Linked DNA regions of Rattus norvegicus. The protein of the gene in region 1 purifies or fractionates together with the protein of each later gene. This does not show direct contact. Links are inferred from orthologs where the notes say so. Each region holds a gene or a part of one and is shown on either strand. Other genes may lie near its edges.

What was found.
Region 2: the proteins of Bach2 (region 1) and Mafk purify together in Homo sapiens (co-immunoprecipitation; 3 studies listed by BioGRID and IntAct, with this or other methods). This does not show direct contact. The link is inferred for Rattus norvegicus from reciprocal best matches to the Homo sapiens genes BACH2 and MAFK.

Annotation. Positions count from the first base shown.
Region 1 is NC_086023.1:51,764,128-51,780,417, reverse strand, and holds the end of Bach2 (transcription regulator protein BACH2), read right to left. Parts: intron 11,839-16,290; coding exon 11,632-11,838; intron 7,642-11,631; coding exon 7,162-7,641; 3' UTR 6,174-7,161; downstream 1-6,173. UniProt on the Homo sapiens protein: Transcriptional regulator that acts as a repressor or activator. Binds to Maf recognition elements (MARE). Plays an important role in coordinating transcription activation and repression by MAFK.
Region 2 is NC_086030.1:19,950,068-19,964,909, reverse strand, and holds the start of Mafk (transcription factor MafK), read left to right. Parts: upstream 1-5,717; 5' UTR 5,718-5,865; intron 5,866-7,623; exon of another isoform or gene 7,624-12,256; intron 12,257-13,070; 5' UTR 13,071-13,114; coding exon 13,115-13,150; intron 13,151-14,017; coding exon 14,018-14,452; 3' UTR 14,453-14,842. UniProt on the Homo sapiens protein: Since they lack a putative transactivation domain, the small Mafs behave as transcriptional repressors when they dimerize among themselves.

The DNA.
Region 1 (16,290 bases):
TCAAATAGAACCTTGTTTTATGCATCCTTTCTGATGGGTAGGTTTTTTTGGGTAAGATATTCTAAAGGAATTTTAAAGGACTTTATTTCAGGGGCTGGAGAGATGGCTCAGAAGTTAAGAGCACTGACTGCTCTTCCAGAGGTCCTGAGTTCAAATCCCAGCAACCACATGGTGGCTCACAACCATATGTAATGGGATCTGCTGGCCTCTTCTGGTGTATCTGAAGACAGCGACAGTGCACTCATATAAATAAATAAAAATCTTAAAACCCCAAAACCTTATTTCCAAATGCAATAAGAATTGGCACAGGATCCGATGGAGGGGGAGGAGATTCTCATTATGTCTAGAATCAGATATGAATTACATGAATTAAATGAGAAGCACATTCGAGGCATAGAAGGAACACCAGCTGCATGCCAGAGGCATGACAAAGCTTGGGAAATTCTGCAGGGTGGAACAATCAGGAAGGTTTATTCTGCCACAGAAGCCAATGGCCAAGGGTGGAGATGAACATGGCTGCCAACTCTCCCTGATCTTTAGGTAGGCAGTTGGTCAATTTCTCAAATTTAAGATGATCTGACCATGGTTGATTTAGTAGTTTACAGTATATAAGGAAGCCATCCTTAACTCATTAAGGGCCTAGGATATCCTCTGAGGAAGAGTTCTGGAGCCTTTTGGTTTTCCCATGTGGGAGATGGGACAATACTTGCTGAACCTAGGATTACATAGGTATCGGGTTACATTCATTACTCTTGGTAGATCACACCTGCCCTCTACTGGTAGTTTCTCTCCTTGCAGCATGAGCTCAGTGTTATTCACAGACATCTGGTCTACCCACGATGTGGCGGGTGTACATTTCCCCTTCCATAAAACCTGAAGACACTAGCCACAGGTTTGGTGTTATACTTTGATTTTCTTTCACGTCAGTTGTTGATGACAGCTTGACTATGTTCCTGGTCTTCACCCTGTATGTTCCTGAGACCCTGCTTTAGCCTCAGGAGTAATTGGACATGGGTAGGGGCCACTACACCTGGCCTTATGTATTTATTCATTTATCTATTTTGTCACCTCTTCTTTATGTTGTTGTAGATCCATCTACAGTTGTAAAACAAAGTTCTTTACCCGTGGCAACATTCTTTATCCATTGCATAGCTACAGGGGAATATGGAAACTGGAAGTGGTTCTAATGTTCAATATCTAATCTCAAGTGCAATGGGGACTTTAAAGATTTAGATTAAAAACAGCATGGTTAAATTCTTAAGATTCCTAATCTAATTAACTGGGATGCAGGGGAGGGTCCAAAGTAGAGGATGAGAAATGACCTTTGGCAGAGGAAACATTTCTTGAGGCTGTCTATTCTGCAGAATGTAACACAGGGATTAGAAGCTTTGACAATGTAGAATGATATGTCTTTATTTCGTTAACAGAAATGGCGTCTAGACAAAAATTCAATTAACACTAGCAATTCAGTTGAGAGGGTTTTTTTTTTTTTTTGCACAATAGTGTATTTACAACGAGTAAATGAAGTCTCAATTCATTAATCCATAGCAATGCTTTTTCCCAAAAAGGTAAAAATTCTTAGTTACAGAGAATAAGCATCAACAGCCATCTCAATATCTTTACAAGAAAAAACCACAAGAAAAAACCACAAGAAAAACCACAATCACTTAGGAAAAAAAATAAGGCCAAGCGTAAGAACTTGTACAATAAAATGATGCATTGAATTAAGTTACATTAATCGCATAGAATCTGTGTAAAAAGTATGTAGAAAAAACACCTGATGTAACCTGTTACAGTCGTTGACCAGTTATGAGAGGTACGGAGGGTTATACAGGTAGATATGTGTGAAAACTGTCCGTATTGTTTGAGCTGGGGAGGAGGAGAAGAGGGGCCGCAGCCCCTTGCATACACTGAGAAGACCCTGTTTTGCATATGGCCTCTGGAGTTTGTAAGGCATATATTAGAGGTGCACTTGCATCAGACTGGTTCTGGAACAAATTCTCACAGGCCCTCTTGCCTTGAATGGCTCACCGTGTCTAATGAGTCCCCGAAGCTCCCAAATGCATCTGCAATCTTCCTGATAATTCGTTACAAGTGCCAGGCTCTCGTGTCAGAGTGTGAATGGGCATCCCAGCGTTGCCACAGCCAAAAGACATTGTTAGGACCCAAGTGGAGGCCAACTCTTTGTCCCCAGAGACGTGTTTGGTAGAAGTTTAGCACCCATCTTTAGGAAAACCCATTTTTTTTTTTTGTCCAAGTCCCTTCACTCTTTCCTGATATAGGTGTCTGGTCATTCCCATGGGAGCGTTTGGCACTGAGTGTGAGTCTACCTGAAATGAGTGGTCTTGATACACTTCCACGAATAGCCATTGTTTTATCTGAGGTCAATAAACCGGAATGAAAATGACAGCCAAGAGTTTATCCATTGCTTGATAGAGAAACGCATACACCATGCCACAACATCAAACCAAAGCTATAAAAGTTGGGCCTCTGCAACCAAGTGGGATACTGTTCACGAAATGGCAGCATCATTTCATATTACAATTAAAATGCACTAATAATTCACTTGTTATAAATATGATCTCCCAGGGTGGAGTGTAGGAAAAATACTATACAATTACTTTGCAAGTAATGTTTCTGCACCATCATTTGAATAATTTACCTTTGATCTGCTACGAGGAGTCTCTTCAATGTACAAGTACTATTTGCACACGCTATTTATGCACAAATATATCCTATGCTACAGCATCAGTCTTTGACACTCGGGTCGTGAGATGGCTCCGGTAGTATTATACATTTTGAACACAAAATATCTCCATGCACAGACTTCCTTTATGAATACCAACCCCACGAGGCATTGTGGACTGACTTGCCAGAAATGGGATCTGCAACAAAATCCTCAAGTAGATACTAAGAATACAACACAGAGCTTGATTCTTTTAAAATAATTCATTTTCTTTCTTTAGTCTGGTGTGTGTGTGTGTGTGTGTGTGTGTGTGTGTGTGTGTGTGTGTAAGGGGGAGGGAAAGGGGAATGGGGAGAGAGAAAGGGGAATGGGGAGAAAGGAAGGGGAATGGGGAGGGGGGAAGGATAGACGTAGAGAGAGATCTGAGGGTAAACCTTGACTCTTGCTCTCTTCTAGATCTGAGATTTCCCCCACACTGTAAGCACTAGTGGAGTCGTTTGAAGTCATCAATAACAGCTCCTGGTTTAAACAGGGCCGAGGTGTATAGGAATATGCAATCCAATAGACTCCAAGGAGCTTTACAGATCGACTCATTTTGGAGGACTATGTGTTCCACGGGACGCAGAGCAGTCCCCCAGGGCAAGACTGGGCGATTTGTGAAAGGTTTATACTTTCAAACCATTGTCTGCTTTGTCCTTTTCCTCTTCAGTGGCCATCATAAAGTATTAAAACAAGAGAAAAGTGTAGGCTTTAGTCAGTCCTCCAGGCAGGTCCTCTGGTGGCTCTGTAGCTCCTTCAAGGAGAAGAGGCAGTTAGCACACTAGTTACTAGCCGTTTTTTAAACTTCCTTGGAAAAGCAGTGCAAGGATTATATCCAAAATTATAGTGCATGTTAAAAAGCAGCATACCTTGAGAAAGACAGTAAATAAATTACTCGTATGACATTAAAAATAACGCTTTCTACTGCAGCATCAGCCCTGATGCCTGAGTCATTGTTAGGGAACCTGGAAGGGAAGTAGCAGGATGACCTAGTAGCTTTGCCAACTTTAGAAAAGTTTTTTGAAAATGCTTTGTTCCAGAATCAGTAAGTCACGAAGTTTGACTTTCTCCAAGGCACCCCCAGATAACGCAGAGACACAAACACACACGGCAAAGCACACACCTGCCTACAGCCTGGGTAACCTGAAGGAGGCTATTCAGAGACCAGGAGGACAGAGGCTGCTCCAGGGGGAGGCCTGTGTTTGGGTGCTAGCCCTGGACCATGACCCATTCACACCCCAGCCTCTGGGAGACCCAACCAAGCAGTCATGTCAGTCCTATGATTGGAGTATCCTGTATCTTTGAAAGAAAAGATCTTCAAACACACAACTAAATGTCCCCTTAAAACTCAAACACTCTCCTCTGTTCTCTTTCGTTCTCTTTTCCATAGGGGGAATGAGGTTGACTGAGGGATCCCAGGAAGGACAGATTGGGGATTTCCGAATTCCACTTGAAGAACTTATATTCTGGACCCCAGTGAGTCCTCCCTTTGAATCAACTCAGAAATAATTTTGATGAGCAATTGTTTGGAACAGTAAGAGACACAGACACGTCCCATGAGTAATTACCCAAAGCCAGTTGCTGTTCCTGGTGGATACTGAATGAAATTACCTGTTAAAAATACCACAGAAATAATAAGTTTTTTTTTAAAGAGTAATTTGAAATCATGGCACAGATTGGGGGTGGGGGGCAGAAGAGGCAAAGAAAATGAGGAAGATGAGGGCTGAGTTGAGGCAGAGAGAAATGAGGAGACCGGACTCCCCTCCCATGGAAAATGTTTGCCACAGGTCTGAGCTACTGGCAACAGAGACTTAGGGGGTAAACTGTGGAATGTGGCAAGACTTCCAGCCACCCAGGAGCTGGAACAGCATAAAACAAGCAGAGAGGCTCCTCTGGGCTATCGGTGGCCTGAGCAGAAAACAAGCCTTTTTGTTTCTTTAGAAGAGGTCACTTAAAAAGGCAATGAGAGAGTTTAAAAAAAAAAATACTGTTTGCTGACGCTTGCACCGTAATAGGCAGCTGTGAGCATCACATGATTCCCATGGAGCTAAATGCCGGCTTTGCCAGCTTTTCATGAAGACACACCTGGTGCAGGGAACCAGGAAGTACCAATGGTGTAACAAAGATGGAGCTCCAACACAGCTGTATCAAAATCTATACACACACACACACACACACACACACACACACACACACACACACACACACTCAAAACCCAGAGGCAGGTTTTAAAAAATGGACCTATTTTAAAAGAAATAAGTTTCCCCTTAAATTCTACTGCATGGATCAACAACTTCTGGCATTTGTACATACTTAAACATTTAGCACTACTATAAGTACAGAAAGAAGTTAATAATACTAGAACATATGTCACTAGGGTTTCACTTTTGCCTACAAGTCATACATTACTTTCCCCTTTTACATGCAGCTTTAATATTGTCCAAAACAATGGCACAGATGAAGAAACAAAGTCAACCATCCATCTAGTTCCCATTACCCTCTACCCTATCCCAATATCAGACTTTTCTGGACAACCTTGCACAGCTGGAGTGGTCTCCGGGCTGCTGAGCAAAAGGAGATAGAGACCATTTGGGAGAAGGGAGCTGACTCCTCCTTGGAGCATGCCTTTCTGTAAACACGGTTTGGACCAGGATACCCTAGGACCAAGGAAGCTGCTCTCCAGATTTGTAACCAACCGGTTTTTAGCAAAGGAAGCAGGTTATTACCTGGGGAGGGGGAAATGAAGGGTGAGGGGCGGAGGGCTTGGGAAAAGGGGGCAGAGGGCTCCTAAGGGTGTCTGTCCAATGACTTGGATGCAGCAGCTTTCAGACAAGAGACTTGGGGAGGGGGGCAGAGCAAAACCTCCGAGAGGGCATTTGAAGAATGAAAGGAAGAAAGAAGGCATTAGCCTATGTTCTTGTGGATCTCAGGCTCCATTCTGCCATGCTATTTCCTACTCCAGGGGTGGGGGTGGGGGTTGGGGGGTGCTACTGAAAGCCAAGGCTGTCATTCAAATCCCCTCAGGTCTTAAAATGTGGGAAAGCCAAACCTGGGCAGGAAAGCCGGGTGGTGGGTTAGCTGTGCCCTTCAAAGAAGCAGGTCCTATCACATGACGTTTCTGAGCAAAAGTATAAGCAGAGGCCGGAAAGAAATGCTGAAATGAGAGGGATCCCCCTCCCCCTGCAAGGAACTGGTTCTCCACTGCTTTCTCTTCACCAGTGCCTGTGGGGTTCTAACAACACCACAGGCTCCTGTCCTTTTGACATGCAGTCCTTCGAGCCGTGCGATCTCTTTCCCCTCATAGGAACGGGACATCCAGTGTCAGCTCTGAATTATCTGCACTTCCGCTTCCCTTGCAGGGGAGGTGGGGGAGGAAGTGAGCTACAAAAATATTCAAGCAGATTATTGTCTACACATCCTAGGATGGGTTCATTATTTGGCAAGATTGTTTTTTTTTTCCTACATAATTATCACCTGAGTGCTTTTTAATTAGCTAAAATGTTTTTTTTTACCTCTTTAACTGAAAGCAAAGAATATACAATATACTTGAGTTATACCGAAGTTACAACTTCATTTAAGAAAATAGGTTTGACTCAAAACTCAGTGCAAGTGGCGAAGTTGACCATTGCTGTGCAGTATCTGCAAGGACGAGGGGGAAACACGAGGAGGAAAGGACAGACCCACGATGCTCACCCAATGCCATTCGGGGGCGCCGAAACCAAACCAACGAAAGTGAAAGGTCTGAGACTGAACCTTGAGAAGAAACTTCCGATGCTGAATTTGGTCTGTAAATAAGTACAGATTAGAAACCGAATTGTGCAGCAAGAAAAGCAACCATGTTAACAGCTACAAAACCAGTTCTGGCATCAGACACAGAAAGAGGAATGTTGGGACATGTTTGTAAATGATAAGTGAAGTTTCCAGTTTCAGGAAATTGAGAAAATCGAGGCATGCAGGACTTTTGCATATGGATATATATTTCATATATATTATATATACTATGTACACAGTATAGCTATAAAACTTTGATGTGTATAGAAGCTGTCTTCAATGAAAAAAATTGAACATTCAGAAGAAATTCCTGAGATAGGGTTTGTGACATGGGCCACTGAGAAAAAAAATCCGTGGTTGGGTCCTAGAGGTGTAGTCTAATCCCTGTGAAGTTTGCAATTAACCCACAGACAGACAGTGTCGGCACTGTTGTCTACCTTGCCAGGGCAAGGGGTAGCACCATTAGGAAGGTAACTAGCACTCCTGCTTACAAGAGAGGAGGGAATACTTCGGAACAGTATTGCTGCTAAGACTGCTGTAGTGTGCACCAAATTCGTCGTTCTCGGTTCTTCAAGACACAGATGAACAGTGCCCCTGGCTGGCAGAGGCACTCTCAGATGAGAGAGGTGTGAAGACCGGGGGTCGGGGGGCAGAGCTGATCGCGGCTAGGCATAATCTTTCCTGGGCTGTTCGTCTGTTGTACACTTCTCAGTCATTTCCTGACAGAAGTCCACCGTCACTGACTGGCTCCTGGCTTCCAGAGGAGGTCCTCTTTCAGAGAAGGTTCCAGGGTCACTGCCTTCCAACCTCCTCCCAGACGTACAATTCTCAGAGGTGTTGCTGGGCACCCAGGGGAGCCCAGGGGGAGCTGCCCCTGGCTCCAGGCAGCAGGGTACACTTCCTCCTACTGCACACTGGGAGGGCGCAAGGCTCTGCTCAACCCCCAAGGGAGGGGGGTTAACACTGGCTCCAGGAAGGTCCATGGGTATGAGAACAGGGCAGTACCGGTGCAGGGCCTGGATCTGCTCTGGACTCTGGATGTCTCGACAGACCTCCTGTGAGAGGCAGGAGAAGTTGTCCAGTAGCTCCCCCATGCACACTTTCAATTGATTCCTCTCGGACAACAGCTTCTCTTTCTCGCACACCTGTGAGAGAGAATGACACACCTTCGTGAAACCTGCACAAAAGCCTCATTTCCAAGGCTTTGTTTTGAGACCTTACACGGTAACCTAACTCCGGAAAGAGTAGGCCAGAACCTTTAGGAAGTTAAAAGACACACTGTGAAGGGAGTGCTCGCCTTACCACTTGTCACACAGCTTCCCCAGTGTGGCATCCCTTCCTCTGAGCCCCAGGAAGCAATCGGTTGAGGTACCCCCAATGGCAAAGCTGTAGGGAGTCAAATGACATTCTGCTTTCTGAGTTTGGGGTTTTCAGGGAACTGACTGGAAACGTTTTGTTTCAAACCCGATAGCTGAAAATCTTCCCCTAATACATTAGGTTACTTCTTTTTCTTTTCTTTGGTGGTGGTGGTGGTGGTGGTGGTGGTGGTGGTGGTGTGTCTGTGTGTGAGATGTTTCTCTGCACTGTATAGTCCTGGATGTCCTGGAACTTACTCTGTAGACCAGGCTGGCCTTGACCTCAGAGATCCTTCCCCCAAAACTTCCCAACCCTGGTTACTATATTTGAGGGGTGAAAGTCGAGTAACTGATATTTTGAAAAAGACAAAAAAAGAAAAATAAAAAGTCAGCGCTGCCAGGGGTTGAGGGAAGGGGAGATGGCTAAGCCATTACAGTAGGCTTTAGGGCAGTGAATCTGCCCTGTACACAGTGGCACTGACAGCACCCTTTGAAACTCCATATAGTACTCACTAAAGAGTGTGAGCTCTGAGGTAAAGCAGTGGTGTTGGATGAAACGAAATGGCAGCATACGCCTGTCCATAATAATACATGTACTACTGCTCTTGTCTGGAGTCACCAGAGTCTGGGACTGCTGGGTCTGCCATGGCCTTGGTGGGGACAGATTGGCACTGTCCCTGCCCCTGGGACAGGGCCAGTGGTCGTGGGCCTCTAAGAATGCCCATGGCTGCCGTGGGCATAAGGCTTGTCTGTAGAATAATGTACATATTTTACGTTCCTCTTTCAAGGCATGTCCTCCCTGTTAACGTTAATGACTCCATGATAATCTGAGATAGCATGTGTCCGGGAGGCAAAGGTATGGCTAATTAATGTCTCAGAAAAACAGTGAACGATGGGACCTTCAAGACAGCCCTTAAGGCTATGGAAAAGAACTCTAAAGACTCAGAGCTCAGAAATATATAATTTCTCAACTATGCAAAAATTAGGGATACAATATGAATTATACGAAGGCTTCATGGATCTAAAGGAACAAAGGCAGCTGCATCAATGAGCCAGCTTGTCAGAAAGTCATAAAGACAGGCAGATGCAAAGGCAGGCATATTCCTGAGTTCAGGTCAGCCTGGGATACAGTGAGTCCAGGCCCAGGTATGGTAGAAATAGTAATTTCAGGATGGGGTCCCACCCAGCTTGCTTTTCATCTGTGCTTAGCAGAGGCAGGCAGATCTGCTGCCTTTTCAACATTAAAAGAAAATGCATGCTCACTGTCTCCTAAGAATTAATCACCTAGGGTCAATGGATGCTGATTCTTAGGATAATCAAAAAGGAAACCTAGAGTAAATGACTGGATTGATATGAAATAAAAGACTGGGCTTATGATCTGCAAGAAATGAACTGTCCAGAGAATTTTTTAGACTAGCAAGAGAGAACTGCTTGGAGAAATGTCTCAAGCAGAATATAATAGAGCTGTCTGGAGATCTCGAGAGAAGGCAGATCAGAGAGAAAGAAAGCAGGACAGAGAGAAAGCAGGCTGGAAAGCTGTCTCGAGCAGAGCATAGGCCACCAGCTTTGACCCACAATTTGACTTCTTTTGAGTTGTTTTGTTTTCAAAGCTCCCAGACACCCCTTCTCTCAGAACCCCTCTCCAAGCCCAGGCTGGTCCTTGGCTTGGGACATCTGGGAACTCTAGGTACTTCATTTAATTTTGCTAGAAATTTAAAATGACTATAAAGAAGAGAGTCCTTTCACAAACAAATGAACAAACAAAAACAAAAACCAACCAAGTAATCAAGACTGTTTATCAGCAACTTCATACAATTAGACCTAACCATCACACTCTCCAGCTTTTCCAGCACAACCGACTGGACAGAACATATCCTTTGATGGACCCTGGTAACCGTGCACTGAATCCGGAGCAGGGGTCATCCCTGGGCACTGGATGGAGAGGCTAGGGACAGAAAGGTGGGTCCTATGCTTTTGCACAGTAGCCCACTGTTCTAAGATGTTCTTCCCATTAAGAATAATCCCACACAAAGAGCTGAGTTTAGTCTGAGAGAGGAGAGTAATTAAAGTTTTACTCTCAATGCTTGTATGAGGAGGTGTGGTGAGGCTTCGTGAGGCTCACAGATAAAGCAGCCAAAGAAACTGGGTGTCTAATGCAGTGGGGAGGGTGGTAGCCAGCCCTCTGCAAGTCTTGCAGGCAAGCCCAGGCAAGGATGGGGGTAAAAACTGAAGAGGAGGGAGAGGAGCAGGTCTCTGACACAGGAGCTGTGCACGGCCTAACGTGGGCACAATCTGGCAGGCAGCGTGGGTATGTGTGTTAGAGAGAGATTTACATGCGGAAAGGACACCTGCTAAAATATTTATAAATTTAGCTAGAAAACATGTTTTAAAAATGAAAAATAAACAGATGTACGAGTGCAGCTTGAGAGAAATACATTATGTGCATCTGCAAATGAGGGTGGCGAGCCTGCGGGAGACATCGCAGAAGGGATGCTGGGAACTATGCAGCAGCAGACCAGGCTGGCTGGCTCTGACCACTCAAGCCATCCCCTCCTCTGAGACACAAGCAAACGGGCCCAGCAACCTGCCCCTCTCTCCACTCAACCTGGACATCTAAAAGTGAGGGCCAGTGCGTCCTAGGAAAGCAATCTCCTGTCTCTGTGCCACAAGTCCTTGTCTAGGCACTAACCCCACTCATCTCAAAAGTGCTCCTGTATACTTTGTAGCGGAAGGAAACACGTTGCCACAAATGACGTGCTTCTAGCTTCTCTTAGAAAAGGAAGGATGTATTGTTGATGTTGTCTTGGTTAAGAACATGGAACTCTGGTAGCACACACCCATAACTCCAGCGCCTGGGAGGCAGGGGCAAGAGGGCTTCATTTAAGGCCGACCTGGTCTACAGAGGAAGATATTTTGATAATAAACCAAAGCCAAAGACGCCTGACTGCAAATCTCTTAAGATGAACGTAATGAAGAGGTGAAGCTCTAGTTCAGCACTGAGGTGCAGTGTGTTGCCTTTTTAAAAAACTTGATACAAGCTAGAGTAATAGCTTCCATCAGACTGGCTTGTAGACAAGTCTGATTAATGATTAATGTGGGAGGGCCCAGACCACTGTGTGTGGTGCCACCTCTGGGTTGGTGGCCCCGGGGTGTATAGGGAAGGCTGAGCAAGCCACAGAGAACAAGCCAATAAGAAGAGTTCTTGCATAACCTTGGCATCGGTTTGTGCCTCTGGTTCCCGCCCTGACTTCCTTTCATGATGGGCACTTTTGGTCACTGCGTTAGAAAGCAAAACAAACCGTACAGCGTATTATTTAAGGCTTGGAAGATGCCGATGGAGAATAAACAGCGTTGTCCTGCTTCTTCAGAGGAACGAATCAGTAAAGTGTTTTAGGCATTCGCCTGGCAAAGAGCAGTGTGCTCAGGTTTTTGCTGTTTGCTCAGAATCCTGCAATTACATGGACCAGCATGCTAGTTATCAAAACCAGGCGACTGGGTAGCGAGTTAGTTTAGAAGAACACTTGATTTGTATATGCATGCAGTAGACACGCTTTATTGTGATATACAAATGGAAAAACAAAGAGGAGCCAATTCCACACAACACCCGAGAGATCTGAGTACCTCTACGTACATTTCAGATGCATATTTATGACCCCGGTTGAGAATAAGCCTAAGTTTTCCTGAAGGGTGGTTGTCCCTCTGTTTCTCCAGCTGTAACTGATGTAACTTCACATCGGTCTCGGTCACTCGAGGTTGCTGAATACCTGCCCGCCAACTCACCAGTTTTCGTATCTCGCATTCCAGGTTCTGAATGCAGTCCAGTTTCCTCTTCCGACAGCGCTGAGCCGCAATGCGGTTCTTACTACGCCTCCGGATGTCGTGAATGAACTCCAACTGTTCTGAGGTTAGCTTGTGCATTTTAATCATCATCTGGAAGTCGTTCCTGGGAAGGTCTGTGATCTGATCGACAGGAAAAGGAAGTTTAACCTGAAACCGAGAACAGCGGAGCGGGATTATAGCAGCTGGAGCGAAATTTTGGAGTGAAACATCACCAAAACTGTAAAGCCTCTTTAAAAAAATTATTTTATTTTATTTTTTAAATTTATTTCTTATATTTATATATACTGTGTACAGTGTAGCTGTCTTCAGACACACCAGAAGAGGGCATCAGATCTCATTACAGATGGTTGTGAGCCACCATGTGGTTGCTGGGATTTGAACTCAGGACCTCTGGAAGAGCAGTCAGTGCTCTTAACCCGTGAGCCATCTTTCCAGCCTTCCAAACCTCTTTTTTTAAGATGAGCAAATCATAGGGGAACTACAGAAAACAAGTCGTGATTAATACTCTTGTTTCAAATACAAGTAAGATGAAATATTCGTGTAATCAAACAGTACTAACACGCACAAGTAAGCCAGCCTGGTGGTGTATAACTTTAATACTACTACTCTGGAGAGAAGGACTGCCATGACATCTGAGGATAGCATTGGTTACATAGTAAGCAGGAAGACCTTGCCTCAATACACACACACACACACACACACACACACACACACACACACACACACTGCACAAAACGCACAAAGCAGCTCATGCAGATTGTGATGTTGTCATTCCCGAGTTTTTTTTCTTTTTTAAAGCAAATGGCATTGAAAATATCGGAAACTGTTAGTTCTTTCAATGTTGTAAAACTTTTGTGAGGAAGACTATGGCTTATTGAAGCCCTCTTCTATAAGACGCACAACTGGAATTCAACAGAATGGCCAAAGTGACCTTCTGAGGACTGATGTAAAGACCTGGAGGACTGGGGCCAGCACGTCTTTGAAACTCTGGAAAGATGCACCAGTCAGAGAAGAGTCGTTTTTTACTCACACAGAACACAAGCGTAGGAGGAGTCAGAGCTGGGCTTTAGTTCTCACACAGCAGAGTTCGGGGAGGTGGCATTGCCCCTCTGCACCCCAGTTTCCTTGTGCAAAACAAGGTATAAAAGCTTCTTAGGTCAGTGTGATGCTAGGCACTTAGCCAGAATTACGTTTTCTATCGCGGTATAATTCCGTTCTTCCTGTCAGGTTGTACACTCCTTCCTTCTAATAAACACACCTCGGCGGAACACACCTCAGTGGATGGCGTCGTGTGTTCTTGAGGCTAAGCCGTGAAGGACACTGAGACTTCTATTTCGTCCTGTCTCACTGGCTGCTCGGGAGGGCAAACCTGCTCTAGCTCACAGCAGTGGCCTGTGGATGGAAGCGTACTCACTGCTTTTTAGATTCGTTTGTTTATTTCGAACTCCATTCTCTCCTCTAGTTAGACGGGCCCTGGGAACCAGACTCGGGATACACACTTAGTCTGGCACCGTTGACCCGATGAACCACCTCGCCAGCCCAGAAGTGAATTCTTGAAGCTAGAGAGACCTGCAGAGGACGGTAGCCCCAGCCAACACCTGACTTCAGCCAGAAATGCTCACAGGGGCCAGCTCAGTTCCTGACACACAGGAAGTGTGAGAGCTGTCCAATGACCACTGCTCTTGTAAGCCACTGAGGTTTAGGCACAATTCCTGCTTTTAAGTCCTTGACAAGTCAAGGTAAATATTTTTAAAAGAGAGGACAGACGGCAGGGGCTGGAGAGATGGCTTGCTAGTTTATACCTGCTGTTCTTCCAGAGGACCCAGGATTGATTTCTAGGGCACGCACGCACCCCACCCCCACTCCACAGCTCACAATCATCTGTGGCTTCAGTATCAGGGGATCCAATACCCTCTTCTGGCCTCTGTTGGCACCAGACAGACAAACACACAGATGCACAACCATACACATACAGATAAATAAATAAATAGATCTCCACAACAGTAAAGAGAGGATGGCACGGCTTTGGCTTTGGGGGTGTCTTCTCTGTTGTTTGATTTTGGAATGTATTATTTCCTAAGAACAGCGCCTACGGAGAGCTGACACAGGCAGTGGCACTTGTCTATAAACACAGAAGTGGAGGCATGAAAATTAGCGATTCAAGGTCATCCTTAGCTACACACTGATAGAGTTTGAGGCCAGCCTGGGCTACAGAAGACCCTAATTTTTTTAAAAAAATCAAACAATGAGTTTGTGCCTGATGCAAACTCAGGCTTTCTATCTCTAGGGTCTCATCAGTCTCCATGGGGCTTGAGGCTCAGGTCTGTGACGTTGAACAGCTTCTCTCTGCCCTTGCTAAGGCAGTGCTGATGGTGTGGGGACCTCTGCAGTTAGATTTGTTTCTGCAACTCCTGCAAAGGTACAACCTCAGCAATCTTAGCCCTTGGGAGGAGGTGGAGGCAGCAGGCATAAGGCTACCCTCAGAGGCCTGTGGAGTTAGAAGCCAGCCCAGGTCATTACACCCAGCTCACATTACTTTTTTCTCACATTCAATTTTTTGTCTTGGCCAGCAGATGGCGCTGTAAGTCTAAATGTCATGTGCCCCGCTAATCTTTAATACTAACATCAGCCCTGTAGACTAAATTTGCAAGTGTGTGTCAGGTGTGGTGTGTTACACCTTTAATCCCAGCACTTGAGGGGCAGAGGCGGGTGGATCTCTAAGAGTTTGAGCCTCGCCAAAGCTAAATACTGAGAGCTTGATTCAAGAAAACTCAAACCAGGGGTTGGGGATTTAGCTCAGTGGTAGAGCGCTTGCCTAGGAAGTGCAAGGCCCTGGGTTCAGTCCCCAGCTCCGAAAAAAAGAACCAAAAAAAAAAAAAAAAAAAAAAAAGTCAAAACAATCCAGGTGAGTTTAATTTTAGGAACCTGTCGTTTATCCCAACATAAAAAAATCTTTCTTGGGGTTGGGGATTTGGCTCAGTGGTAGAGAGCTTGCCTAGCAAGTGCAAGGCCCTGGGTTCGGTCCCCAGCTCTGAAAAAAAAAAAAAAAAAAAAAAAAAAAAGAAAAAAAAGAAAAAAAAGAGCCATCAGAGAAAGCATGTGGGCCTGGGTTTATTAGTGAAGAAAGCAACTTTCTGTTATGTTCAGAGGGTGGAGCGCCGAACCTGTGTTCTCAAGAGGTCAAGGATAGGGCCAGCCTGCCCTGAACTCAGGAATTATTTGTCGGTTGCATCAGATGACTGTCACGAGGCCCAGGCCTGGTATTTGCGTCTAGTTGGTCACCAGGCACAAAGGCAAGCACCCTAAAGAGTCAGTTGCCTTTCCTAGGGTTGGGTGAAAATTCTTTGTCAGGTTACTTCCTAGCTGTGAGCTTACTCCCTGTGGCGGTCACTGCTGAAGACTCCCAAAGGGCACTCTGCTGTGAAGCCTAGGTGGTGCGTGTGTTGCCATGACACCTGCAAAACTCTGACCCAAGACCAGGAAACTAGAGGGGAACGCATTACCCCACTGTGGGGTCAGGTCTGCTCTGAGCGTTAAAGAGGAGCCGCCAGGACAAATGGCTCCTTTTCAGGCTCTTGGGAAGGCTTCTGCCTGTGGGGCTGCATCTCTACTAGGCCTCTGATTATGTGGAGGGCTGCTCATTTCCCTTCTATAAGCTGTGGGTCACAGGCGCTCAGATCCTACATGGTGACTCAGCCGCACGGAGGGCATCAGTCAGAGGCACAGTGTTTGGGCATCACAAAAGCTGTGCACTCCTGGGGCCCTGGGGGATTTCTCTTTCCGCTGACAGTAGAGCCATCCTACTTTAGCTCCAGACGGTTATTTGCTTTCTCTCGGAAAGAAAACATGCGACGGCCCAGATACAGGGAGAGTCTAAAGGGCTTCCGCCCTAAGCACTACTGTATTTAAAGCCACCTAGACAGCAAACACAGACCAGGTAGATAGGATGGGAGGTTGGCAGGGGAAGAAAGGGAAAATCAACAACGGCAGTGTCAAAGTCCTTGGAGCAAAAGCAAAGGCCATATGAAATTTCATCAGGGCTGCCGCCATCCAGCTGTGTCTCTGGAAGAGGGTCAGTGGAGGAGAAAATAGTCAACCATACACCTTCTTTTCTATCAGGGGGAAGGGAACCCTCACTCCTGGGGGGTGGGTTTTGGTTTTTAGATCTGCTAGCCATACAGTAAGGAAGGATTTACATGGACCAGCAGGTGGGAGCACAGACACTTAACCATAATCCTTTGCTCTTTCCAAGCCAATGGGCATTCCTGAAGAGGAGGAGCAGCCCCAGGCCTTTGCAGAGGAATATTCTCACAAGCTTTTGTGTGCACAAATATTTCCCGCACAGGGCTGGAAACCAGGTAACGTGACAGGGCCTTGGAAGGCTGAACATTTCCCAGAAGGCTCATGCCTCTGCTCTTTCCTCAAGGAAGATTAGCACAACTTACACAATTGTGTTTTAGTCAATGCTCCTGCATAACATATCCTTCCGAACTGTACTTCTCATACGAGGTGTCTACTCTCCGGGTCCCTGGAGACTGCACAGAATACACAATATGACACAACGAGACATTCTGCCAACTCCAACGGTCACCGCCACCT
Region 2 (14,842 bases), on another chromosome or scaffold:
ATAAAGGCCCTTGCCACCAAACCCAATGACCTGAGTTCAATCCTCAGGACCCACATGGTAGAGAGAACTGAGTCCTGAAACTTGTCTTCTGAACTCCACACATGGGTAGCAACACATGCACACACACACACACACCATGCATATACATATATATACACAACATATCACCCACCCATATACCAATACATACACACACATGTAGTGACAGATACATGCATATGCAGACATACACATATTTACACCACATACACGTATACACATACACATATATACATACATACATGTAGTGACACACATGCATATAACACATACACACATACACATACGTATACACATCACACCATACACACATATACACATACACATATATACATACATACATGTAGTGACACACATGCATATAACACATACACACATACACGTACGTATACACATCACACCATACACACATATACACATACACATACACCACAATGTATAGATACACACATGTAGTGACACACATGCACATGCATATATACACATATATATACACATACATACACATATATACACCGCATTACACATGCATATATAAACATACACCCCTAACATACATGTACACATGTGTAATAACACACACATACATGGATACACATACACATACATACAACATATCACACATAATAAACTGTTAAATCAAACAAACACAAAAAAGACAGACCAAATGTTAAATAAGGTGATTGTGTCAGTGATGTCTTAGTGACTAGTCATGGCTATTACCTGGGGTCATGGCTTTAAGCAGGGATTGTCCTATGCACAGGCCTTGCCTCAGAGTCCTGGATATCCCCATTCTGTCATCAGCAAGAGGAGAAAAAGGCCCTGGCCTGCTTTGCAGAGAGAGGACACTGTGGCTGTAAGCACAGTGACAGGTGACGCATTCATCATCTTAGGAGTGTGTGTGTGTGTGTGTGTGTGTTTGTATGAGTGCTGACTCAGACGTGTGCATGTGCGTGAAGGCCAGAAGTCAAACACACCCATCGTTCATCATTCCTCAGAGGCCATCCACCTTATTTTCTGGGACAGAGTCTCTCACTGAACCTGAAGGTCATTGGTTCAGCTAGACTGACTGGTGAGCCCCAGGAGTCCTGTCTCCGTCTCCAGGCTCAGGGATTGCTGGCACACGCTGCTGCACCTGGCTTTTCCTGTGAGTGCTGGGGATCCGAGCGCAGATCTTCAGGCGTGTGCCACACACACTTTATCCACGGGGCTATCCGTCTCTCCAGCCACTCCCTAGGACTGGCTAGAATTGCCTCAACTTGTAACTTGATTATTTGAGGGACACTGATGCAGTTCTGATCACAATGGGACTCCGGGCAGGTTATGATGCATTTTTGTAATGTAGCCCAGGCTGGCCACACACTCACTAGGTAGGCAAAGATGACCTTGTACTTATGATCCTCCTTCCTCCGTTTAGTGCTGGGATGACAGACGTGGACTTCCCACACATGTTTGGGACTAGTGATGGAACCCAGGGCCTGGTGTGAGCTGGGCAGGGACTTTACCAGCTGAACTACCTCCCCACTCTGGGAGCACCTGTCCTCTACTGGCCCCTTAAACTGAAGGGATTGTCATCTTAAAGTGGAGGTCATGGGCAAGGTTATAGTGACCATGTGCCCAAAGCCATGAAGCTGGACAAGGCATTAGGAGCTTTTGAAACCTAAACTCTACCCACCCCCTTCAGGCCTGCCTCGCTCCTTTTCTCTTCTCGACAGCCGAAGACGCCTCTGTCCAGTAGCCAAAGCCAGTGAATGTCTTTACCCCAGAAGCTAGCATGGATTCCCCGTAGCTCTCCCTGCATCCCCTTTAGAGTGCGGGGGATAGGACCTCACTACCCCTACTCTTTTGGGAGGGAACTGGACTCAGAGAAACATCCCCGAGGACATAGTTGTAGCTGGACAAGTGAGCAGCCTGTGTCCATTCATTGATTCTCCCCTGTGAAGGTGAGAGGCAGTGCTAGCTAAACACTCATCCATATTCAAGCAGCAGGCAGCTCTTGCACTGGTAGGAACTTCCGTCTACACGACACTAACTCACACGCCCCGGCAGCCAATGATGCCCCATCAGCTCTGGGAGGCTCGTGTTTCCATATCTACAGGGACACCATACAACACCGTCGAATCTGGCCTCATCAAAGATCCAGTCTGCATTTTCAGGGTTCCGAGGCCCTGGGAAAAGGGTCTTTAGGGGTACCCACTGGGCTTGTACTAAACCACTCCTGTCTGTAGCCTTACTGCTGAATGAACTACGTTGCTAGCTTCAAGTTGCCTCCATTTATCTGGCTTTACCAGAGCCATCTGAGTTCCTACCTGCGCTCTGGACAAAGGAGTGTGGGAGGGCACTTAATCCTCCCCAGATGCCCAGCCTCCCTATGAACATAGATTGCCCGAGGACCAGCCCAAAACAGCTGGGATGAAGGGTGTGTCTGGCTCTACGCCTAGCGATAGGACCCCTCCCAGGGCAGTAAGGGACAGATTTTCAGGGTGTAACCAACATCGCCTCTTCCATAAAAGCCATTATAAAGGGAGCGTTTGTCTGGGCAAGCCAAGCCACCACCGCAGGTCTCCACAACCACAACTGAACCCGTGTGAACTGGGTCGGGTAAGCCACCCGGCCATGACCCTGAGATTCAGGAGGTGTAGACAGGGGGACTCTCGCATTCCAATGTCTTAATAGATAGCTCAGGTTGTTAAACTCATGAACCCCCGCCTCAGCCTCTCAGGTATTGGTATTACAGGTGTGCGCCATCAGTGCCGTCTGTGGCTTTGTGTGTGTGCACGTGCTTGGGTATGTTGAGGCCACAGGGAAAGCTCAGTTGTTGTTTCTTAGGTGCCACCCACCTTGTTTTTTGTCACAGGGTCTCTCACCGGCTTGCCTCACCCTGAGGACCCTCCTGTCTCACCTCTCCAGTGCAGGGATAACACATGCACACCCACCACATCTGTTATTTTTTTTTTTTATGTGTACGATGTTTAGCCTTCATATATGTCTGTGTACCATGTGTGCCCGGTGCCCTTGAAAACCAGTAAAGGGTGTAGGATCCCTTGGAACTGGAGTTACAGAGTTTAAGAGCTGCCCTGTGAGCCCCGGGAACTGAACCCAAGTCCTTTGTAAAAAGAGAGAATGGCAAATGCTCTTAACCATTGAGCCATCTCCCCAGCACCCCACCTTTTAATCTGGGTTCTGGAGTCAAACTCAAGTCCTTGTTCTTGCCATGCCTCTATTTTTCTGGATTTTTAATTTTGAAACAGGATCTTTATATGTAGTCTGAGCTGTCCTGGAGTTTGCTATGTAGACCACGTTAGCCATGAACTCACAGAGATTCTCCTCTGTCCCCCACCCCCTGCCCAATACTGGGATGAAAGGTTTGAGCCACCACACCTGGCTTTTGTTTTTTTAATCTCTTGCTTGAGGGAACTAAGGAGAGTAAGATATCCTAACGAAAACTCTATGGGAGTAGTCTTACAGAGTCAGATAAGTGCCACCAACCCCTACCCCTGGGACAGTCCCTCGGAGAGGTCCAGTCCCTTGGAGAGGTTCAGTCCCTCAGAGAAGTCCAGTTCCTTGGAGAGGTCCGGTTGGAACTCATCCATGGAACTCTTGCATGGATGGCGGGAGGTGTGTGAGGATGCAGGAAGATGTCCTTCAGATCTTTGAGGATAGCTCTGGAAATGTTCTGGTCACGTGGGCATCATTGTCCTTGTCACCGATGTTGTTTCTGAGCCGGTTGAGCTGCTTTTGGCAGGTCGTAGTTGACACTGACAGACCTGGACGGCTCCCTTTAGTGGCAAACACCAGAAGAACATTTAGGAGCAAGAACGGATTTGAGGCCCTTTGCGAGAGGTCACAGTGCCTGCAGCACACTGAGCACGGAACTGACCCCACAGAAAACCACGGGTTTCCGGGTACTTGTGCCTGTTGCTCTCCAACGTATTTCCAGAGTGCCTCATGGATTCACTCTAAAAAGTCCTGGGAAGGCACAGTGTCTGGGTTTGAGAGCCATAGGGATGCTTCCCGCTCACCCGGTTCTCAGACCTGAGCATCACTTAGGTCTGAAAGAATGTTAAATTGCCTCCCCTCCAAGGGTAGCAGGACCCACATTCTGCAGCTCTGTCCTTCTGAGTCGGGGAGAGGGGGATGACTCCCATGTAAGGACGTCTTGGGACTCCTAGGCAAGTCTAGGAATCAGACTGCTGCACTGAGCTGGAGTACAGGAAGTTCTGTTTTCTCTTGTCCCCCACCAAAACCTATAGAGAACAACCATGTGTCCACGCACTCCCACATCGGAGAGAAATGGTTTTCTGTCTGTGTGTTGTGGCTGGAATATGCTCGGCCCAGGGAGTGGCACTATTTGGAGGCACTACTTGGTGGACTCATTGGAGTAGGTATGTTACTGTGGGTGTGGGCTTTAAAACCCCCATCCTTACCTACTGGGAGTCAGTCTTCTGGTGGCCTTCAGATGAAGATGTAGAACTCTCAGCTCCTCCTGCACCGTGCCTGCTCCCACCTTGATGACAATAGACTGAACCTCTGAACCTGTAAGCCTGTCCCAATTACATGTTGTCCTTATAAGAGTTGCCTTGATCACAGTGTCTGCTCACAGCAGTAAAATCCTAACTAAAAACATCCATTGTTTACAGAGAGAGAGAGAGAGAGAGAGAGAGAGAGAGAGAGAGAGAGAGAGAGAGAGAGATATGCCAGGGCAGGCATGGTGTTGCATGCTTAGAACCCCAGCACTTAGGAGGAAAAGGCAGAAGGATCAAGAGCTCCAAGCCAGCGCCAGGGAGGTGGCTCAGTGGGCAAAGACGCCAAACGTGACGACCTGAGTCAATCTTCGAAACCCAAAAATGGAAAGAAAAAAACCAACTCCCTAAAGTTGCCCTCTGACTTCCACACATTCGCGGTAGCCATGTGCACACCAACCCACATACATATGAACACACATAAATAATTTAAAAAAAATTAAAGTGTTCCAGGCTACTTACTCTAAGCTGCATTGTGAGATCCTACCTCTGTCTCAGACTGAGAAATCAAAAGGTCATGGTATGGGTCAGAAGAGGATGCTAGGTACCTGCCCTGCTGATTATGTGATGTAACTGACCCACTTCCCAGTGACCGGCTCACTTCGCCATCTTGATGTGAACTTGGTGTTACATCCAGAACATGGTCAATAGCCACTTGGCCTCCATTCCCTCTGCCAAGACCCGGGGAGGGTCCAGCAGCTGCGACCTCAGGATCACAGTGGTTAGCGCAGATGGCAGTGGGTGGCTTAGGCATAGAGACATACATAGTGCTCAGGCTGAAAGTTCAGGAAAATTTGGGATGCACACCCAGTGTGCGTCACGCTCGCCTGTCATCCCCTACCTTGGTAAAGTAGCATAGACCCCGCCCCGGGTGTGCTGGAGATGGACAGGGCCAGGGGCTCAGCAATGAGACAACTGCACGTGGAAGGATCTAGGAGGAGCCAGGGACTGGGGCAGCAAGGGGAGTGGTCATACGGGGGCGTGGTAACGACGGGCGGCCAGAGAGGGCGTGGTTTTGGTGAGCGAAGAGGCGTGAGCAACAGGGGCGTGATCACTAGGGGCGTGACCATCGCGGGGGCGGGACGGTGACGCGCTTCGACGCGCGATCCCGGAAGCGGTGTCAGTACTGGGGAGCCGGCGGCGGGCGGCGGGTGGCCGGGACTTGTTGTTCTTTGCCGAGTCGGAACGAGTAGTCCGAAGCGCGCAGGCGGAGACGGCGACTGAGGGGAGCGCGAGAGCAGAAGCGCGCGTGAAGAGTGCGTGTCTACAGGAGCCGCCGCGCCCGGCCCCGCGCGCGACCCGGGTGAGTGAGGTGCTTCGGGTACTGGATAAGGGGACCCCGAGTTCGCGCACCTGCGGGAGGAGCACCCTGAAGGCCGCGGGACCCAGCCTGGGCCTCGAGCACGTGCCACGCAGGACCTGGCTTAGGGCCCACGCGGGACCCACCACGTGCGGGAGAGCGGCACCCGGGAGCCGTGCGCACCTGGCCATTTCCGTCGGCGTAGGATTCCCCCCTCTTTCCCGGCCGCGACCCTGAAAGGGCCTGAGTAACTGGTGTCACTTTCTAATCAGCTGACCGGCCAGCGGTGCCGGATGTGGAAGCTGTGGGTGGGGAGCGAGGCAGGTGACCGTCTTGGCCAGCCTATCGCTTCCGTCACTTTCTTCAGGTGTGGTCTGGGGCTAAGGTCTCATCCAACTCTGAAGTGAGAGATTTCCCTTGTAGGGTGAGCGTTTAGTTGTATTAAGAGTGTGCGTGTTAAGAGTGTGCGGCGAGAAATCAGAAGCAAACTCTAGCAAATTACAGGTGAAGAAAGCCTGGTGGGTCCTAAGTGCCTAGATCTCTTTGCGGGAGAGAGACTCCTCTTCTGGCATCCTTACTCATGGAGATGGCAGCCACTGTAGCCTCCCAGAGCTTACCCTGTTCACAAACAGTCGGTATTTGGGAGGCCAGGCAGCTTGATGCTTTTACGCTGAGCCTCGCTTTTCACACAGCTCTTACTGCTATCACAGATGCACTTTAACAGTTCTCCCTCCAATCGATGGACAGGCACTCACGTTTCTCTTGCCAGGTGCATCCAGTCCCAAAAAGCTGGCTTGTGTCACAACTGGTAGGTAGTTCAGGACTTCCCTTTCTGTGGAATTATTAAAATTAGCCCTTGGGACCTCAGGGGCTGGCATTGCTGAGGTCCATTACGGTGGCAGCCACATTCCAGAAGGTATCTGGTGGAGTGCACGTGGGCACTTCGATGCTTTGAGCTGGTATTTTCCAAGTCTGGTGTCTTAGGGCCAGGTAACTTCTTTCAAAGGTGTTGATCTAAAGCCATTATGTTATACATGCTTGTAATCCTAGCCCTTGAGAGTTTGAGGCAGGAAGATCTTGAGTTTGAGGTTAGCCTGAACTGCTTAGCTAGTTCAAGACCAGCCTCAGTTACATAGGGAGACACTGTCACAAAAAAGCAAAAACAAAAAGGTATGAATTTAAGCATGTGGATGGAGTCAGGAAAGCTGTAGATAGGCAGGATATATCTGCAGCCCATGTCAGGGACAACCCTCACTGAGGATAAAACCTTCTTCGATCCTTAGATAAATCAACCAGAGAAATGTGGTGTCTGACCTTGGTAAAGGAAATAAGACTAATGTGATAACTTTAAACTAAACTTCTTGATTTATTAGAGCAAAAAACAGAGCCAGGCTTTGCTGGAGTCCATTCTCCTCTTGTTCTCGAACTGAGCTGGGCTTTCAGGGCTCTGTTCCAAGTTCAGGGCTGTGTACTTTCCAGATAGTTGTTAAAATGGGAGTCGGACGGAGGGTCCTGGGAAGCCATGTTTTCCCGGGAGTCTGCCCTTTCTCTAGCACTCTCAAGGCTTCTGGTGAGTCTTTTCTGGCCATTCTCTCCTGGAGACCCTCAGTTTTTAGTCCCTTGCTTTAGCAGCCCAGGGTTTGTTTACGGTCTCTGGTAACTCTTTCTTGCAGTCTAGACTGAGAAGTTGTGTCTGTTTCTGCCCCACTGTTCTGAGTCTAAAGGTTTCTTGGAGTGGACTTTCTGTATCTCGGGTCTAGTCCACACGGGAAGTGGAAATCAGGCCAGCTGGGAGAATTCTCTGTGTAGCCGATCTCTGGAGCTATAAACAGTGACTCATTCTCCCGCCCCACCCTCCCTGTCCCCTGCTCCGGGAAGATGCCTGGTCACTCATATTTACTTTTGCTTTTTATAAGTCACACATGCGTTTGTGTTTCCTCTTTCCTGCAGTTTCTGGAAACTGAAAGTGTTATCTGACGACCCATAGAGTTTGATGGAGGTAGACCTGAGCCCCGGTGATCAAACACTACACTGTCTGGTGTTCAGGAGGGTACAGCTTCGCTTGCTTGATGGCCTCGCCTGAGGTCAGAGGTCAGGGTTAGAGGCTTCCTGCTCTTCCTTGGGGCCATGTGGTATGGTAGGCGGAGAACACACACCCTTTACTAGGCTTCCTTTCCAGAGTCCCTGCCTCTGTCTATATTGCAGACCTTTCGTAGAGCCTTGATACCCTGAAGGAGAGCTAGCATCAGCAACACAAGCAGTCTGCTTGGCAGGAGCTCATTGTGCATGGAAGCTGCTGAAAGAAAGTTCTAGAACCAGGTCTAGATCCAGGGAAAATGCTGACTCCCCAAAGACAGCAATTAGGAGGGCTTTCTGGAAGAAGTGGAAATTGAAGATAGAGTGGAGACCCCTTGTCTACCACAGCCAGGAACACTCATCAGCCAGAGTAGGAAGGAAACCCAGGTAGGAAGCTCAGAAGGGAACCCCAAGTCGTAGATTTAGCTGTAGGACAATGTTCGAGGCACCAATATCAGAACTGGGGATCTGGTACACCAAGGCTAGGGTCCAGAAAGAAGCTGGACCATGCTTGGGGCTCGGTAGGTCAAAGCTGGTTCTACAATTCCAGCACTTGGGAGGCTGAGGCAAGAGAAGGTCAGTCCCAGGCTAGCTTGGGCTGTATGAGGCCCCATCTTAAACAAACAGGTCTGGAGAGATAACTCAGTCAATAAAATGTTTGCTTGAGCTCACATAAAGATGTTAGATGTGGTGGCATATTCTGTTATCCCAGTGTCGGGGAGGTAGAGGCAGGAGCATCACCGAGACTCTCTGGTCAGCTAGCGTAACCTTTGTGATTAGTTAGATTCTGGGCCCCTGAGAGACCCTGTTTTTAAAATAGTGAGGTATACACAGTGAGGTGCTTGCCATCAAGCCTGATGACCTGAGTTCAAATCCCCAAGGCCCACATCGTGGAAGGAGAGAACTGACTCCCAAAAATTATCCTCTGACCTTCACACCCACTTTGGCAAGTACACACACACACACACACACAGTCTGGACTTAGCTGTTTCCTGGGCACATCCCCACTGAAACATGGAGTAGAAGGTGACTGAAGCCCCAGGACCACCAGGGATGGCACAGAGCCCTAACACGGACCGGGTATCAGAGAGGCCACTCAGTCAGTCAGGGAGAGGAGGTCAGGTTAGAGGCAGAAGGAGGGCAGCCACAGTTAAGGGAGGTGTGCCATGCAGCCTGCTGTCAGCCTCGAAGCTGCTTGAGTCACCTCTGCATGTAACTGGGATGACACAGCTTCCTGAGATTGCAAATGCAAGGTGACCAGACGTCCTCTAGGCTAGGCAGACAGTTGTGGCTTATGGGAGGGCAGCCAGCCAGCCAGAGCTGGGTGGAGATGCCCAGCCACGCTCTGTGGGAGGACAGCAAACTGAAATCTTAGTGGTCTGCAGTGGCAGGAGCTCATTGGACCAGCTGTGGTGTGTGTTTCATCAGCATGTGGCCACTGTATGTCGGTAATGTGTTAGCTCCATGTACCCTCAGGGTCCTGGAAAGGGTACTTGGCTCTGGGTATTTGTGAGAAGCTCTTGAGCAGAGGTGGCCACATCCTTAGTGGCTTTAGGTTCTGTGGCTCTCAGCTATCTGGGGCTTGAACCTGTTTTTTTGGACAGAATAGGTCTTTCCCTCTCCTCATCACCCACCCTGCTCCCTTCCCCCATTCTGGGAGACCAGGAACCTGAAGAGCACACATCCTGGTCAGCTGGATTGGGGGCTGCAGTTGCTGTTACTCTGCGGAACCCCTGGGTTGGTATCACAGTTGCAGCAGAGTGAGGTGTGTGACCCAGGTTACGCACTACCCCGGGGAACATGGAGACCCTCTGAGACTTTTTCTGGTCCACTGTTGCACTAGTAGCAAGGTCTCTGTAGTTCCCTATCTGTTTCTCCTTTGGACCTGGCCATGGTCCTCTTTGCTGTGTGCTGGGACTGCCAGGATGTTGTGCAGGAGGGAGGTGAGGCTGTAAATGCCCCCAGTAGTGCAGTCAATGCAGTGTGGTGCTGGGGAACTGCTTCCGGAGTGAAAGTAGGATAGGAGATGCATGCCTGGCCCCCCTCCCCTCCGGAGAAAGACAGTCTGCTAGGGCCTGGGCTACCTGCTGTCTCTGGGCGCCAGGCTGGATTCCCACGCTCTGTGGTGTGCCTCCCTGCTCGTTATGCACAGGGCGTCTTCTACCCCAGTCCATCCTGAAATGGAAGGAGCTGGGCAGAGGAGGGGGATCTTCCTAAGTTGTCCAGGTTGACTTTGAACACACTCTGTAGCCCAGGCTGGCCTTGAACTTGTAAACTTCCCAAGTTCTAGGATGACAGACCTGGTTTGGCCTTTGATGGGTAGGGTGGGACTGTACCCATTGGCTTGGTGTATAAGGGACACACTGAGTTGCTGAAAATCTCTGTCCCTTAGATCGTCCCCCCATGATTGCCACCAGGCAGAAGGGCATGCCTCTGTCTGACTCAGGGCCAACGTGGACCTCACCTTTCACCTGGACAGACTTCTACAATGTTAGTCACGAAGGCTGCAGTCAGAGTTAGTTTGACAAGGGGTACAGGTGCTCCTGCTGAACAGAGTTCCAGGAACTGGACAGGGTGGGCTGGGGTAAACACATTAGCTCAGTATAAGTCAGGACTCCTGAGTGGGGGCTTCTCACTACTTGTCGTCTCTGGGATCTTTTCGCTCACCCTCTTTTTCTGAGGAAATGACCCCGAGCATTGGGAGGTGTTGTCATTTGTCCATGGCTCTTGGGGTTTACTTATTTTTAAGCCAGCTGAGGACTGAGGAAGGGTCCCTGAATGCAGCAGAAGCCCATAAAGAGGGTGGACATGGAGAGAGCCAGGGAGGGGCCCTTCCTGCTGGCCAGGTGGCCTCCATCCAGTGGTCAGTTGACTCTCATGGGGTCACCTGGGGGCGTAAGCCCCTGCCCTGTGCACATCCTGGCCACCCGGTGTCACGGTACCATCACTATGGGGGTGGGGAGATTCCCGCCCGTCACTAAGCGCTGGCCTGCACGTCTCAGCACCCTTGGGTCTGAGTTGAGTCCCCCTTCTTCCCCGGCACCTTCCTTTTCCGCTGGCAGTGGCCCCTGGGGCCCGTGAGCATGCGGGTGGGAGGGGTGTCCTTGTGTGGGAATGTGAGCCGGCTCTGTAAACAGCCCGTGACTCACCACATAGCTATGTCACTGACGCTGGGGTTGCAAGTTGGAAGAGATGCCCAACCCCTCCTCCCTCCTTACACGGAAAACTTTCTCAGGGCTCCTAGGCGCCTGGCTTCTGAGAGCTCCTAATGGAGCTAAGGAAGCCCATGACTTCTCTGGTGCCGCTGTTCCCTAGCTGGGGCTGGAAGGGGTCTGTGGATACTACTTTGCCCACATCCCCATGTGATCTCTTATCAACAGTAGATCACCCCGACAAGCCCTTGTCCATCTCAGGTCCCAGGGGATACTGTGACAGGTCCATGCTGCTTTACCTAAGCTTCCTGGCCCTGCCCCTGTCCTGGTCTGCTGACTGCCTACTGAGTGTGACCCGTACTGTCACCAGGGTACTACATTCATTACCAGAGTCAGTACCTTGTCTCTCGATGGTGGCTTCCTGGCAGTAAGGGTGGTAGGCAGTGGAGACAGGATCCCATCAGAGGTGAATCACAGGGTGGAGAGATGGAGCCTACAGGTCCCCCACATTTGTGGGGGAAGGTACAGTGGAGGTCATCCACTGTCTTTTTCATACCTGTTCTCCACATTCTTCTTTTGTGTGATTTCCCTAATGTTCCCTGTTCTGTGCCCATCTTTGTCAGGGTTTGAAATACAAGAGGTAGGGGTGTATCCCACCAAGAGCTGTCCCTGCCCCTCTTACTCCTTCCTCAATTTGTCAGGGAATTGAGTGGTTTTGTTTACTGCCTGAGAACCTCGTGTTGTCTTTCTGCACAGGCTTGACCCACAAGTCCCAAATGCTTTTGGGCTTCTCTGTTGCCATGGCAACTGTGGGGGGTTGGCTACATCCCAGAGTCGTCATGGCAACTATCAGAGGGGAATCATGCTTGGGATGCTTTGGCTGGCTTTTTCATGAATGATGAGGGTGTGTGACACAATGCAGACTGGAGAATGAGAAGGGCGGGCAAGGGGGCTGGCGGGTTGGCCATGGGGACAGGGCCTGCCAGACAGCCCGGTAAGTCTGCCAGGTGGCTGGAGTTCTCTGCTGGTGTCTCTGGCTGGATCCTCTGAACCTACTACCCACCAGTAGCCCCCCACCCTACCCATAGGGACCTTGGGGTCACTCTGAAGGGCTGGGATGGCCTGGGAGGAGTGGTGATGTCACAGCTGCAGTGTCCTTCACGCTGGTAGGTGTCCCTTGGGCTATAGGAGGGTGGGGCTGGGGAGTGGCAGATATTATGTACCCCATCTGTCTTGGGGGGCTGAGGGGGTAAATGAAATTTCGGGAAATAGCCTTGTTCTCTGCCTAGTGAGCCAGGCTGAGCCTGGGACAGCAGGAGCTCTTGCTAAGGAGCAGACACTGTCCCAAGGCCCTCCTTCAGAGTGCAGTACTGCTGCTTATGGAGCCAGCTCTGCGGCTGACAATCCCTTTGGTCTTGAGATGCATGCAGCACCTGGTATCCCGGGGTGTAAATGTCTTGTCTGCGTTCAGGGGGGCGCCTAGAGCAGAAAGCAACAATGGGTCGTGAATAGCAGTTATTCCACAGGGCTGTCGGTCTTAGAGTGCGCTGGATGGGGGAACCAGGGACCTAGGGGGTCTGTCTGCTCTAGGGACTGATGCTGAAGCACGAGGCGGGGTTGGATCTCATCCCCCCTGTCAGACAGAGGCAAACTGAGCGCCTGCTCCAGAGCACTTAGGGCAATGGTTTTCAACCTGTGGGTCGAGACCCCTCGAGGGCATCAAACAACCCTCTCATGGGGGAGTGGTCACTTAAGACCATCAAACCCCACGGATACTTACATTATGGTTTATAACAATAGCAAAATTACAGATATAAAGTAGCAATGGAAATAATTTCATGGTTGGGGGTCACAAGAACGTGAGGTACTATATTAAAGGGGTGAGAACTTTGTAAAAGGCTTAAGGGCAGGCCTACCCCATTTCCAGTGCTATTACCCTAGCCTGCCAAGACCTAACCTACCATTTCTGTGTCTTTCCAGCTACGATTTCCTGGTGGTTCCGTCCTGGTGACAGGGCCCGGGTTATGACGACTAATCCCAAGCCCAACAAGACATTGAAGGTACGGCGAGCAGGGCCAGCATGGGCTGTGACTGGCACTGCCCTGCATGGCACAGGGACAACTCATCCTGCCTTGGCAAAGCCCCCCTTTCACAGCACTGCCCTAGAAAATGAGGTCAGCTTTGTCCTCAGGAATTGGAGAAAGATCGGGGAAGGAGAGAGGTGGTAGAGTGGCCCATAAGAGCCTGGCCTTGTCACCCCGGGAGGCTGCTCACAGGTAGGAGGGTGATAAGGCAGATGTGAAATAGATACTAGCTACCTAGGGCTGCATCCAGACGCTTCCTCTGCCAAACTTGGCCCCCCCGCCCCCCATGCCAGGTGAGCATAGTGGTGTCCCTTCTACCAGCCCAGGTCCTTACTGTGTGATGTCACTGTCACCAGAAGTGCTACTGAGTGCTTCCTTGCCTCAGAGGCTCCCGAGGACTGTGTGCTGGGTCCCTTGAGTGAGCCCTGACCAGCCAGATGCAGACTTTGCTTCAGTGGGTGGATGTCAGGGAAAGACAGGCCACAGGGTCACCCTGTCCCTCACCTGAGAGCGCTTGGTCAGAGCATCTGAGGGGCAAGGTCCCAGTTCCATGTGTCTCTAGAAAGCTTTACAAAGTTGACCAAGACCTTCCTGAGGGAATGGCTGTCAGGTCCTCCCCGTTCAAAGAGGTGTCATAGCAACAGGAGCAGGGCTGTCTGTACACATCCTGCCATGGGCATAATCTTGGAGTCCCATGCTGCCACCATGGTAGAATGGGAACAAGGAAGGGTGACAGGCACTGCCGGGCCTTTGTTGGACCAGACTTTAGCCTTTGGTGATTGTGTGCCAGTTCCATGAACCCTGTGCGCCTCTGTTCTGACCGCTTCTCATGTGGCTCCTTAGGTCAAGAAGGAGGCGGGCGAGAACGCCCCTGTTCTTAGCGACGATGAGCTGGTGTCCATGTCGGTGCGGGAGCTGAACCAGCACCTGCGGGGGCTCACCAAGGAGGAGGTAACTCGGCTGAAGCAGCGGCGGCGCACACTCAAGAACCGAGGCTACGCCGCCAGCTGTCGCATCAAGCGCGTGACACAGAAGGAGGAGCTGGAGCGGCAGCGGGTGGAGCTGCAGCAGGAGGTAGAGAAGCTGGCTCGTGAGAACAGCAGCATGCGTCTGGAGCTGGATGCCCTGCGCTCCAAGTACGAGGCCCTGCAGACCTTCGCACGCACCGTGGCCCGAGGGCCTGTCACACCCACCAAGGTGGCCACCACCAGTGTCATCACCATCGTCAAATCCGCAGAGCTCTCCTCCACCTCTGTGCCCTTCTCAGCGGCCTCCTAGTGTCTGCTGGGGCCGGGCAGGGTGCGGGCAGTGGCACAGCCCTCATGCCTATCCCAGGCTCCCTGGTACAGATTCCTCATGTCTACCTGCCCACTGTGGACCCTGCAGGGCTGAGGGCAGGGACGGCAGGGACAGGCAGATGCAGGATAAAAGGGAAGCTCTCATGAGCCAGTGCCACAAGCAACCCCCACTCACATCTCTCCTTCCCCTGGGGGTACGTCTCTAGGAGCTGACAGGAACCACACGGGCAACCGCGATGAACAACTCTAGGCCTCTGTGGCAGAGTGTGAGGACTCAGTCTTCCACTTCTCCGGTGCCTGCTTATCAGCGTCATCGGTGCCGTCCCCTCTAAGGGCCTCCAGCTGGGTTGGACACCATCTGTCTGTCACT